2 linked regions of the Ovis aries genome follow. The protein of the gene in region 2 interacts with the protein of the main gene of each other region in a pairwise test. Links are inferred from orthologs where the notes say so. Each region holds a gene or a part of one and is shown on either strand. Other genes may lie near its edges.

Region 1 (6,851 bases), on a different chromosome or scaffold from region 2:
GGCTTGCTTCCGGCAAGACAGAGCTCCTTCACACCCCAGGGGAAGTGGAAACACCAGAGACTGCCCCCCACCTCCAAATGAGGTTCTGGAAAGTGGTTGTGCCTGTTGGGGATGCCCCATGTGTGCTCCATCAGTGATGGGCTCAGTGAGGTTAGCCACAGTCCTGGCTCCCGAAGATTTGCATGCTTTCGGCTCTGTGGGGCCCATCAACTCTACATCTTTTTCCAGCAAAGACTCAGTTCCAGATATGCCTACGAGCTCATGGAGGAAGAGGAGAAGGAGGAGGAGGGGGAGGGAGAAGAAAGCTCTGAGAAAGAGACTTGGAAGGAGGGCATTACCTGAAGGGCGCTGTCCTCAGTCTCGGATGAGAGAAACAGTCATGTCGCCACTAGAGATGGGAGAGCAGTGGGGACAGGTGCTGCTGATCTGTCCTGCATGCTGCAGGCTCTGAGGGACCCTCCCCACCCAGGCTAGACAAGACCAGAACTGGCAGTGTGGTGGGTACATGCCCCACTTGGCATGTAGTCAGCACCAGCGGGGCCCCGCCTCAGAGCCTATCACAGCCACGTACGTATGACCTCAGTTAGGGCAGCTCCAGGCCCAGGTGCTGCTCCAGGACAGGGTCCTAAGCAGACAGGCCAGGCATTTCACAGCAGCCACGCGGCTTTCTCCAGTTCCAGGGTGGGCACGGTGGAGAGGAACCATGGAGAGTGAGTGGTGGAAGAAGGGTGGATCTTTCAGGAACCAGGTACCCGGTCACATGTGATGGACACATTTTGGGGCCCAAGGCCCAGGGGGCCACATCCATCTAGGTGTGTCCTTAACTACCACCCCAACCTAAGTATTTGATCAAGGAGGAGACCAAGGCATGTTGCAGAGGCTCAGAGAGGGAGAGAGATGGTTAGACTCACACAGCAGAGTCTGAACAAGAGACCTGCCTGAAAAAGTGGCCTGGCTCATAGGGGACTCTCCTGGCCATGTCCTTCGAAGCACGGTAAGCTGGCTCACCTGTCCTCTGCTGCGATGGCCTCATCTAGCTCTTGGGACACCTTTTGGAGATGCCGGATTCCTGCCCCCACGGGCTCCAGGTCACTGTCGGACTCACTGGACAGAAGGAAAAGCTGTGCATATCAGTCACTAGCTGGAAACCTGTGGCAGGAGCCTATTCTAACCCAGCACTGGGACCTGGTGTACAGGCCCCAGAGATGACCAGTGTGGGCTGGGAACTGATCACCCCAGACCCCCATTCTAGGAAGTGTCGTCAGAGAGGCTCGGAGCAGATGGCAGAGAACAGCTGAGGCCATTGTCAAGGATAGATGATCCTGCAGACAGGTAAGCCTCCACCCCCCGACCCTGCCAGGTGGCTTCAAAAACTTTTGGTGGAGCTTGGGTGACTGTGATACTCTTAGAGTTAAGCTCGCCTCTTCCTTTGGCAGGTGGGGAAACTCAGGCCCAAAAGGACCTCCCCAGGTCCCCCATAGTGGGGCACAGAGCTGAGCCAGAGCATGGATGTGGCTCAGCTCAGGGTGTCCTGAAGGTGCTCAGTAGCCCCCAGGGCCCAGTTAGCATTTGAGGGGCAGGCACTACCCCACTTACCTAGGGGAGCAGAGGGGCTCTGCCGAGGAGTAGGGGCTCCGGAAGGCAGCCTCCCTTCTGGACCGTTGCCAAGGGTGGGCATGGGGGCCCATCTGGACAGACAGGGGGTGGTACTCTTTCTCCCGGGGGTCCAGGGTTGAGTGGGCAGGGGCAGCCACAGATAGCCGGGTGCTCCTCTGGCTCAGGCTGCGAGCTGGGGGGCTACTGCCCTTCTGGGCCCCTCTCTTCCTCCTCCTGGCTTTCACCTGGGTTTCCACCAGCCACTTGGTGCCACTTTGGCAGGACTCCTGGATCCTCTGTGACCAGTGCATGGAAAAGTCAGAGTGGACAAGCCAGGAGTGAGCTACCCGATTTCTCAGGGCATCCCCCAACCCCTCGGCCCACCAGCTGGTCCTACAGACCCAGGAAGCCTTTAGGCTCAGGGTGAGGGATGCAGATGAGTCCATGAGGCCACAGGTCCATAGCAGGGACCCAGCTCAGGCCCCCAGGGATAAGTGCATGGGCGGCAGCATAACCTCTCTGGCTCATGGAGCCTGCATTGGTCTAAATCCAAACCCTCTTTCTGGACAGATTGACCCAGACTCAAAGGGGAGGCCTGGGGGAGACCACACCTACCCCCAGGAGACAGTGAAATAATTCTAAACATGTTCGGCACGTGCCCTACCTTCTCACGCCCTGTCTTGCTCTCTGTCCTCCAGCCATACCCAGACTAAGTTCCTGCCAGTTCTTTTCAGCGTCTTGCTCTCCTTTAACCCTGGGTCTGGACTAGTTCACCTGTCTTGTACACTCCTCATACCTCCTCATACCTCCCCTTTCCTGGGCGAATTCCATGGAGTCACCTCCTCCAGTCACCTTCACTGACTAAGCTTGTTTTTGGTGTTCCCCCACCATTAGCCCTTTGCTAATTAGCAACTTCCTATCACAGTATAGCTCTTTCATCTTGTCTCATGATGTTCTGTTTCCTCCACAACCCTGTTTTCATTCACTCATTCAGCTATTTGTTGAGCATCTACTGGGTGCCATGGGCTTCCCAGATGGCGCTAGTGGTAAAGAAACCGCCTGCCAATGCAGAAGAGATATGAGACATGGGCTCGATCCCTGGATTGGGAAGGTCCCCTGGAGGAGGGCCTGGCAACCCACTCCAGTATTCTTGCCTAGAGAATCCCATGGTCAGAGGAGCCTGGCTCCTACTGTCCATAGGGTAACAAAGAGTCAGACATGACTGAGGCGACTTAGCGTGCACGCACTACTGTGTACCAGGAATTGTTTGGAGAGCTGGGGACACTAATAAATCAAGGACCTTGTCTTCACAGAGTCTATATTCTTGGGAGATCTTTGGGGGCAGCCATTTTTCAGCATCAAGGAAGCCCTACATCCATACTTGGCATTACCTGGGACATGGCACCCAAGGTGCTCTTAGCTGAGCGAGCTGCAGCCTGGAGGCCCTGCTGCCCTGGCTCTGGGGTTTCCAGGCGTTTCCAGGAGGGGCCCACCCCGAGGTTGAGGCTGACTGCTCTCAGGGGCAGCCGCCTCTGGAACTGTCTGCGCAGGGAGCCCAGGGCCCCGCTGGAGGTGTCCAGGTGGCCGGCTACAGGCTGCAGGGCCTCGCTCTCCTCCAACCGTTCCTGGTTCTGGAGAGACCTCCGACGCAGGGAAGCCCCCACAGCTGGCCACCGAGAAGCCATCTGACTGTTCAAGAGTCTGTTCTGTTCCCACAGACCCTGGGGAGGAGATCAATGGGAGATCAGCAGGGTATCCCCCATCCCACTCCCAGGATCCAGTGAGACACCGGGTACCAGAGAAAGAGATTCCAGTCCTGGGGCCCATGGGGTGGGTCGCTTGTCAACCGTGGGGAGGAATTCTTCCTAGAAGTGAGGTCATAGAGGCCCGGGAGAGGGCAGAGTCTGGACAAGGCCGGCCAGCAAGGCGTCCCTTGCTGTGAGTGTCTGAATTAACTGTCTTTTCATCCCAGGCTACTTTCCGTTATCTGCCTCAGGCTGGGAGGGAGGCAGTCAGGACCCGCCGGCCGTCGCTGAGCCTCAGCACTTGGCCCAGGCTGGGCTAGGGACTCTTTCACGAGCTCGCCTTGACCCAATGCGCGGAGGTGGGCTGACCAGACACCCCGATGTCCATCCGGCTGTACCCAGAAGCCCCACATGCCGTGCCCGTCCTAACTAGGGGTCCCCCACCCCACCTGCTCCCGTCCCTTCTGAACAGAACCCCACCACGCCCCGGCCCGCACTCACCCAACAGCTCCCGAGGCTGACCAGACGACGTGCATAGCTGCTCCTCGCCCATCCAGTCGATTTGAAACACCGCGCGGATCCGCCCCCCTGGTCCTGTCCTCACAGCTGATTGGCTCTGTCCCCGCCTCGCGGCCACGCCAGGGATCCGATTGGCCCCTGCGCCAGCGGCTGTGAATCCTGCTCTCGGATTGGCCTAGCCATCCCCATTCATCCTCTGGAGGCCCGCTGGACAGGGAGCCGGGCGTAGAGGACCCTTTGTATCTATGGGTCCCGCCCGAGTTTCCTGCAGAATCCGTAGCCCGCGCCGGCTCAGCCCCGGCGCCACCTACTGACCCTCGGTCTCGGGCCACTGGACCCCATCCTTAACTTATAAAGGGTTCTGGCTGGCCTGACTGGGCGGGGCGAGGCGGGGTCCCCGGCTCCTAAGGGTCCCTCCCATCCTGCCTGAAGGTCTCAGTGGTTTTGTCAGAAAGAGCCTGGGCTGGGAACTCGGAGCCTTGGGTTGCTGTGGAAACTTTGTTTCAAACTTCCCTCGTGACCCTCTGCCTTCCTGAGACTGCCCTTCAGTTCCCCAAACTTGCCATCCGCACGGATCCCCAGGAAAACCCATCTTGGGAGAGGGGACAGATTGAGTGCATCCCCCAGCCCCCTACCCCCACTCCAAGTACGACCCCCAACCCTGTCCCATTGACCATCCCCTCTATCCAGCTGAGTGCCTCCCCCCTTCCCTTTAGCATCCGAGCTAAAAAATTCACCATTTAGAAAGCCCCCTCTCCTTCCCCCTCAAAGTAGTCCCTACTCCGTTTCCTCACCGCCCTGCTCACCTGGAACCTTTCCTCCCCCCATACACCACCCCCCCCCCCCCCCCCCCCCCCCCCCCCCACCCCCCCACCCCCGGCTCCATTCCCGAGTTTCAACTTATGGGTCTCTTGAAGGTCAGTCATTAACTCTGTTCTTCACCTCCGGGTCATCTCCCCCAAACCCTGGTAAAGGGACTTTTCCCATGGGAGGAGACCGATTCAAACGAGTCACTTACTATGCACCTGGCCGTGGTGCAGTGATTAAAGAATCTGCCTGTCAATGCAGGAGAGGAGGGAGACATGGGTTTGATCTCTGGGTTGGGAAGATCCCCTGGAGAAGGGAATGGCAACGCACTCCAGTGTTCTTGCCTGGAGAATCCCATGGACAGAAGAGCCTCGCAGGCTATAGTCTATGGGGTCGCAAGTCTATGGGACACGACTGAACCGCTAAGCACAGCACAGAGCTGGACACAGCTGAGCACACGCATGCATGCACTATGCACCAGGTACTAATTTCCAAGCACTTTATAGGAGGGACTCAAGAGCCCCTCGCTGCAGCCTAGGACTAGATGAGGAAATGGAGATGGGGAGGGACCTCAATTTTCCGGTTTATATGCAGCAAGGATTCAAACTCTGTCACCCTGGGACCAGGGTCCATGAGCCTCTCCAGCATAGCACATGGCCTCTCCTCAGCCTGCACCTCTCCCCACAGTTGTGCTAAATCAGCACCTGTATCCCCTTCTCCTCCTGGGTGCTGTGGGCACCTTAAACCAACATGCTCCAACAAGGTCACGCTGGTGTCTCTCAACCCCCCTTTTCTCCTTCCTCATTCCCCTCACCTGTCCTTCCAATTATTTACTTGTGTCTGATAGATTAAGCTCTGTGCTGACAATGATCCACAAAGGTGAACCAAACAGGTGAACTAACTTGGTGAACTAGCTCAAACCTGGTGTGTGGGGGAGAGACGGACATGGATGAGTCAAATAACAAGTCCTCAATTCATCAAAGAGAATTATGACACAAAAATTATGTCACTTAAAGCTGAGACCTACAGAATGAGCTCACCATCAAAGAATGTGTGTGTGTGTGTGTATGTGTGTATTTGGGGGTGGGGATCTTCTTCCACAAAGAACATCATGTTTGGGGGACCCAGGACCCAGGTGAGACCACCCCCGCCCCCCAGCACACATACCTATGTGTAACTGAAACGAAATCTTCCTGAAACAATACTTGACAATGTGTGGGGTGCTTTGACATAATTTCTGTTCAGTACTTCATCTTTTGAAAATGCTGGTGACAACTTGCTGCGTTCGTTTTTCAGCAGTTCGCTAAGAGTTCTGAGCTATGGTTTGAAAAACCCTGCTCTGTTTTACATGTCCAACTTCTTCCCCAGCTTAGTTGTTTCCTAAGCATCTGAAGTGTTTGTTCCCACACTTCTGGTATGCTTGTTGAATTTGTTATTGTAATTAGGGAATTTCATTCATTGTCCTCTTCCAGTGAAAGATGAAGGGGAAAAGAAAGGGTTATTATTTTTTCTGGAAACTAAGTTGAACGTGTGTGAAAGACTCAGGGAAGATGACGCACTTGGAAACAAAGCCTCTCCAATTGGATTGTCTTTCTCCATTGTCCATCCACGCTTGTCTGCCTGTCCCAGTGCCTGGCACGTCCATCACAGGCCTTGATACAATAGCTTATATATGTCGGGCCCTTACACGTGTGTGCTACGTGCATTTCCTTTTCTTAATCTTCCTTAATCCTCACAGCAACACTATGAAGTCGGAGCTATTTTTATTCCCATTACACATGACAAAACTGAGATTCAGACAGGTGAGGTGTCTCGCCCAAGATGGAACAGAGGGTGGAGCTGCAACTTAAATCCTGGAGATTTGACTCTGAAACCTGAATTCCTAACCTTGGATTCCATGGCCTCATCAAGGGTCAGGGTGGAGGCGGTGATGCCCCAGAGGCCCTTCCTGCTTGGAGCTTTTGGTCCCCCTCCCTCAGCTCCGTGACTGACAGGGCAGGTGAAGGAGAGCAGTCTCCATGGCAACGACAGAAGGAAGAAACATTTTCTTCTGAATGAGGAGCCTCTCGCATTGCCTTTCGAGGAGGGTGGAGTGTAGGAGTGGGAAGGAGGATGTACGGAGGGGAGCAGGCTCCCAGGGAAGGAGTGGTGGGTGCAGGGGATCTTGGTCCTCCTTGCAAGAAG
Region 2 (6,851 bases):
TAGGATATCTCCTATGAAAGTGAAGGGTATCTGCAACTATCAAAGTAAAAAGAACACAGAGCAATAGAGTAAGCTAAATAGCATAATATAACCTAGGGTATGTGTATTTTGTAAATCAGAGTAAAGTTTGGGATATCACTCAGATTTTGCTCTACAACTTTTAGACACTCTAGAATGTTCAGTAATTCAACAAACTTGAAAGAACTGCCCAGTTTTTCACTTTAAGGAATTTCAAATATTACCACACTAAGATAAGGCTTAGTACCCTCTTAATTATATTTCACATAAAGCATAAAAGACAACACAAATTAGAAGAGAGGTTAGAAATCAAGGTCACATAAAATATTCTTCTCTCTACTATCAACATTCATCCATACATTCCACATTTATTTAAGAAGTATCAGTTGAAGGTTTTGAAAATGTTTTGGAAATAGTGGTGATGCTGTACATCATAAATGAACTTTAGGTTCATTTAAGTCACTGAATTGGACATTTTTAAATGGCAATTTTTATGTCATATATTGATCACAACTTTTAAAAATTAATACCGTAATACACAAAAAAACCCATTGAATTGTATCCTTTAGATGGGTGAATTGTATGGTATATGAATTATATCTCAGCAAAACTATTAAAAAAAAAACAATCCAGGTGTCCTGCCAGTAGCGTTTCTTGGAATATGATTTCGCTTATGACCAAGAGATGATCACAGCTGTCCATGTCCTGGGTTTCTACCTTACTCATTTGAATAATAAATTTACCTGTCACAAAAATCTCTAAGCTACTGTCATATTCTAAATTCATCCACCATGCTAGCAGTCATCAGTTACTCATATGCCAGGCACTAAGCTCAGAGTGAGAGACTCTGGAGAGACAAAGATGATTACAGCACAGCCATGGGACTGTCCTTGGAAAGGGAAACAGTAAAGAACAGAACAGGGTGACCGAGGTGGCTCAGAGAGAAAGAATCTGTCTGTCAATGCAGGAGATGGGGGTGGGAGGGGGTGGGGGGTAGGGGTGTTGGGAGGGGTTGCTGTTCCATAAATCCCCAGGTCAGGAAGATCACCTGGAGAAGGAAATGCAACCCACTCCAGTATTCTTGCCTGGAAAATCCTTGGACAGAGAAGCCTGGCGGGCTAAGTCTCAAAACTGAGTCAGACACGACTTAGGGACTAAACAAACACAAAGAACCAGAAAAGGCCCCCAGAGAAAGGATCCTAGCCCTGCCAAATGGGTGGGAAGACCAGGGAAGCCCACGCTTTAAAACTTGAGAGAAAGGAATTCATCCATTGTCATTTTAAACTTATACATACATTTAATTATCAGGACCATGAGATCAAACTGGAAAATGATCATTACGAAGAAAAATTCCCTCTATTTCAGCACACAGGTTTTAAAATGTAAGTAAAACCGATGGAAAAACAAATTCCAATTATTTTCACTGATAAGGACAATGTCACTTACTTGAAAGTTTACAGGTCTTCAGGGCAAGTTTCTTGAGACTCTAGTGACACATCCCTCAGCATAATCATTTTAAATCCCTGTCCTAGCAACTCAACATCCATGTTTCAGAGTAGGACTTTAAAACGTTTCCACTATTTATCTAATCCCAGCTTGAATTTTGCTTTAACTTAGGTTTAATCGTACTGGGGACTATAATGGTTTATCCAAGCTAAACCTAAGTCGGTTTTAAAAATTACTAAGGTATTCAGTTTCTTTTCAGCAAAGCTCTAGGTAAGGCCAGCTATTGAACAAACTTAACAAAGAGGTGTTGACGGTGTCCGCAGGATCAGCACCGGGACCTCTGGCAAAGTCTGTCAGTTAGCTCTCTGAGCCAGGTGTTCCCAAATGTGAGGCACAAAAGACGCGAATAACTTTTCCAAGGAGCATTTTGCAATGAGTACCGCAAGCCTCTCTACACAACCAAAAAACCAGACGAAACAGTGTTCAACGAATCGTTTTTTGTAATAGGTAAGAACCAAAAACCACCTGTTTGTTCACCATCGTGAAGATAATCCGCGGAGTGAATCACAGTCCTGTCACTCAGCAAGCTTGGAGCCCGGTCAGGCGCGGAAAACCTGGCACCAAAGCACCCGTTCGCGGCCAATAAAAACGATGGAGACAAACATCAGCCGCGCGCAGACGCGGGGGATGTATTGGTAAGACAAAGAAGCCAGGCTGCAGCACTTTGTGATCCGAGTTCTGCAAAAATACAGCCGGCTCATTTTTGCAGGGAAAAGGGCACTGGAAGGAAAGACACCTTAATGCGAGCCCGGTGCTCCCCGGGAGCTTCCCGGTGACGTCTGCTCCACTTTTCCGACTGCGACAAAATGAATTGATAGTCAGGCAGAGGCCGGAGCCGCGGGTTCCAGGGCCTGGCCGGGCAGGAGCAAACCGCCGCCCGGCCGGGTCTCTGGGAGACGCCCGGAGACCCCTCCCCACCTCCCGCGCGGGCCTAGGCCTCACCGCGGGGTCGCACCGCCGCCAGGACACCGCCCACTGCCCAGCACGCCCGCCGCCGCCGTCGCCGCCGTCGCCGCAGCCGGGAGATGGCGGCCGCTCGCACCGCGGCGGGGGCGCCGGGCGCTGCGCACAGGGCCTTCCGGGCCGGCCGCGCCGCCCCACCTGGGCAGCGAGGCTCACCTGGGCGCCGTGGGCCTCTGGGGGCTCAGGGCCCAGAGACCGGTGGGTTCCGCCGACTGGACCTCCTAGGCCCTTCACCGAGAACCAGACGCAGCCTCCGTGGAAGCGAGAGCTCCGGGCGCGCCGACTGTTTGTCGCGCTTTAGGTCCCCGAGGTGCCCAGCGCCGACCGCCGCCCGCCCCTCCCCCGCGCGGCGACCAGCCCCGCCCGCGGTCCGCGCGGCAGGCTTTGCACTCTTACTCCTTCCCGAGACGCCTCCGTAAGAACCAGCTGACAGCGGGCGCTGGCTGGACGCGGGAGTGAACCGAGTGGGCAAAACCAGACCTTGCATGCTCTGAAGCCACGGGGCAGGTAAAAACGATCCTAGCATTGTCTCCTTGAAGCTCTGTATGGCTTCTGATTACTCCTAGAAAGATCAAAACTCGTTAGGATGGGCATGAGGCCCCGTGTATGATGTTGGCCCAGTCTCCCCTGGCTTCGTTTAGATAGATCCTCGAATGATGTGAAGTCCTTCAGCCCAGGGCCTCTGCAGATGCTCTTCCCTTTGCCTGGACGCTCCTCCCTGCCTCTTCCCTTAGTTAACTTCCGTTGAGATTGAGATTGTTCGTCAAATGTCATTTCCTAAGAAAAACTATCCTAAGGCTTGCAACACCTGGAATTCTCAGTTCTGTTCAAGTTGTGCAAATATTCGTGTAATCTTTGTTGAATGTACAGCATAATAGGGTTTCCTCGGTGGTTCAGCCGTAAAGAATCTGCCAGCAATGAGGGAGACCTGTGTTGGGAAGATCCCCTGGAGGAAGCACCACAGCCCACTCCAGTATTCTTTCCTGGAGAATCCCATGGACAGAGGAGCCTGGCGGGCTGCAGCCCATGGGGTAGCAAAGAGTTGGAGGGAGCATGGCTCCCTCGCAGCTTAATAGTAGGCTGAGGTCTGTGAAGTCAAGGACCACTGCTGCTTGGTTCTCACTGTAGCAGCTCCCACGTCTGCACAGTGCAGGCTCCCACTATGCTCTGATAAGTGTTGTTGAATGAATGAAGAGTAGACCTGAGTAATGTTTCAGGTGGCCTTGATTTTCATTAAGGAAGAGACAGCAATCACTGCAGAGGAGGGGATGGGTGAGTGGGCCATCTGAAAAGAGCAGTGAGTGGTCCCCGTGAAAAATGGGTTCAGCAGCAAAACAAACATGTGAAAGGGTTCTCTGGGGGCTCTGAAGATTGGAGGGCAAAGGGACATGCAGGTCCCAGTGTGTATTTCTTCCCTCAGCCTGGTGTTAAGGTAAAGGATTGTTTCACCTCTGGGATTGGTAGTGAGGATGCTGAGCAAGTATCTGAGAGAACAGCAGTTGAGAAACAATAAAGAAGAATCTGTTGATTAGGTTAACTAGTCTTCAAAGTAATGGACTGAATTCCTAGGGAAATTATGTTACAGGGATTCTGCTTAGAGAGCACTGATTTCTTGTTTGCTCTTGTATTGAAAGCTCCCTGGAGACAAAGACTTTTCATATTTGTATTTTCTTCTGCACTAGTGTCTTGAATAGAGACTTTTCAATAAATGATGATTGAAAGAATGAACCAGGGAGATAGAGAAGAAGGCAAAAGGCCCCAGAGTGGAAATTTCCAGAAATAGATGAAGATGCATCCCTAATTCCTTTTTCTTGTCCTTAGATCTTCTGAGAAACACTTGTGAATTGTTGGGTGAGGGCCAGGAAACCCTGGTTGGGCAGTAGCTGAAAAATATTGTTTAGTGAAGGATCATATTTTCTTGTAAAACTTTGGGAATCAGAATATCTTTTATAAGACCAATAAGGTATAATTTATTGAATGCTTGCTTTGTGCCTTGTATAGTATTGCCTGCAGTTCTCACAACAGTCCAGTAGTTATTCCCATTTTACAGAGACTCAAAGCCCTACAGAAGTTGCAGGGCCAGCCCATGAAGCCAGCCTGTAGAATTTTAGAAGGTCATATTATCAGAGTCTGCTGTTATTCAGATCCTGTCTTGGGGGTCTGGGGAGTCCCTAGCTTAAGGGCCCCAGAGTGCAGAGGGGCTCAGCCCACTCATCAAGTGCATTCAAGTCTGTCCCCTGAATAGGTGAGGCAGTCTCATTTTGCCGCTGGCTTATTCTGCGCCAATGTTTCCTTCTTGGGTATAGTTTCTGGGGCATCTGGAATTAAGGAACTTACCAGTCTAGGCTGTCTTTTCTACCTACGTATTCCCTGGGCCCAGCACACTGGAGGTAGGCATGGCCACTTGTTATCAAAGAGGCTTGTTAGGAAAAGAAAGTGTGAACAAAACACCATGAAAGGTGTTGACCTGAGTGTGAAACATACTCACCTGGTGATCCTGCTCTTGACTTTATTTCCACTTGCAGATTGTTTTCTTGTTTCCCTAGAAGTGCCTGGATGTTTGTTGCTCTAGCCTCTCAAACTACTTCTCACCAGCCCACCCACAGACGTCAGTGATTTATTTTAAGAGAGCGCCTAAAACTGCTTTCATTCACAGTAGTCTATGCTTTCATTGGGCCTCCTTTGGAAAAGGGAATTGTTAATGAATTAATGGATTTTCTGAAATTACTTCTTAAACAGCAAGAATGGACATCAAAATTAAAGGGAAAAGTTACATCACCTGATACCTACAGGTTTAAAACTTCCCACGTGCCCTTCCAGTATTGGTCCAGCGTGACTGTTGGCTCTGTGTGAATGGAAGCTGCGCAGAGACGTTCAAGAGCCCAGGATTCTGACTCAGCGGACTGTGTGTCAGCGTGAGTCCAGTAACCAGGCTCCTGCTCCAGCCAGGCTGCCGCTGCTTGGGCCTCTATCCTTCAGCACAAAGAGCCTCTGGCTCTCCCGACATAAAACACAGAAAGTGGAGAAGGATCAGTCAAGATGAATTTATAAACTTCACACCAGAAACATTTGACAGTTTTAGGAGAAAATAGATTTTGTTCTGAGTCATCTGGAGAGTGGGGTTTATAGGTTCACCCTTACTTAGACCAAAGAACCAAGGGAAGGCACCTTTAAAGTGTCTAAGGAGCATTCCGAGGCTTGTGTTTCAATTACTTAAGACAAAAATCTGCATCTGGTTTACTTTGAGAAATTTCCAGTAGTCATGTATGTATGTGAGAGTTGGACTGTGAAGAAGGTTGAGCGCCGAAGAATTGATGCTTTTGAACTGTGGTGTTGGAGAAGACTCTTGAGAGTCCCTTGGACTGCAAGGAGATCCAACCAGTCCATTCTGAAGGAGATCAGCCCTGGGTGTTCTTTGGAAGGAATGATGTTAAAGCTGAAACTTCAGTACTTTGGCCACCTCATGCAAAGAGTTGACTCATTGGAAAAGACTCTGATGCTGGGAGGGATTGGGGGCAAGAGGAGAAGGGGACGACAGAGGATGAGATGGCTGGATGGCATCACCGACTCGATGGACCTGAATCTGAGTGAACTCCAGGAGTTGGCGAGGCCTGAAGTGCTGCAATTCATGGGGTCGCAAAGAGTCAGACACGACTGAGTGACTGAACCGAACCAACAGAAAAATGCTTATATTCCCACCACCAGAATTGACCATTCTTAAATATTGGCTCAGTAGAAAATCCCAATGAGACTGTGCAACTCAGGTTGGATCTTGAACCTGTGGCTTTTTAATTTAGATCACACAGTGGGTCTCAGGACGTAATGAAGCTCAGGTTCTCGATGCAGAAAGAATAAAATGAGAGGCAAAGTGATAGATAAGTGAATTTATTTGGACAGAAACACAAGACTTCCCTGGTGACTCAGACTGTAAAGCCTCTGCCTACAATGTGGGAGACCTGGGTTCAATCCCTGGGTCGGGAAGATCCTCTGGAGAAGGAAATGGCAACCCACTCCAGTACTCTTGCCTGGAAAATGCCAGGGACGGAGGAGCCCAGTAGGCTCTGGTCCATGGGCCCGCAAAGAGTCGGACACGACTGAGCGACTTCATTTTCACTTTTTTTTTTCACTCCACAGACAGAGTGTGGGCCATCTCAGAAGATGAGAATATCCGAAATATGGTGTGATTAGTTTTTATTATCTGGGTAATTTCATAGGCTAATGAGTGGCAGGATTATTCAACTATTTCAGGGAAGGAGTGAAGATTTCCAGGAATTGGGCACTGCCTACTTTTTGGCGTTTTATGGTTAGCTTGGAACTCATGGTGCTGTTGAGTGTGTCATTTAGCTAATGAATAGAATCAGTGT

What was found.
Region 1: the proteins of CEP70 (region 2) and PIMREG interact in binary tests that used the Homo sapiens proteins (3 or more experiments, as listed by UniProt). The two-hybrid records come from large-scale screens. The link is inferred for Ovis aries from reciprocal best matches to the Homo sapiens genes CEP70 and PIMREG.

Annotation. Positions count from the first base shown.
Region 1 is NC_056064.1:25,302,566-25,309,416, forward strand, and holds the start of PIMREG (protein PIMREG), read right to left. Parts: upstream 3,878-6,851; 5' UTR 3,843-3,877; intron 3,318-3,842; 5' UTR 3,282-3,317; coding exon 2,988-3,281; intron 1,893-2,987; coding exon 1,597-1,892; intron 1,105-1,596; coding exon 1,009-1,104; intron 389-1,008; coding exon 355-388; 3' UTR 339-354; intron 1-338. UniProt on the Homo sapiens protein: During mitosis, may play a role in the control of metaphase-to-anaphase transition.
Region 2 is NC_056054.1:251,157,551-251,164,401, forward strand, and holds the start of CEP70 (centrosomal protein of 70 kDa), read left to right. Parts: upstream 1-2,904; 5' UTR 2,905-2,994; exon of another isoform or gene 2,995-3,193; intron 3,194-6,851.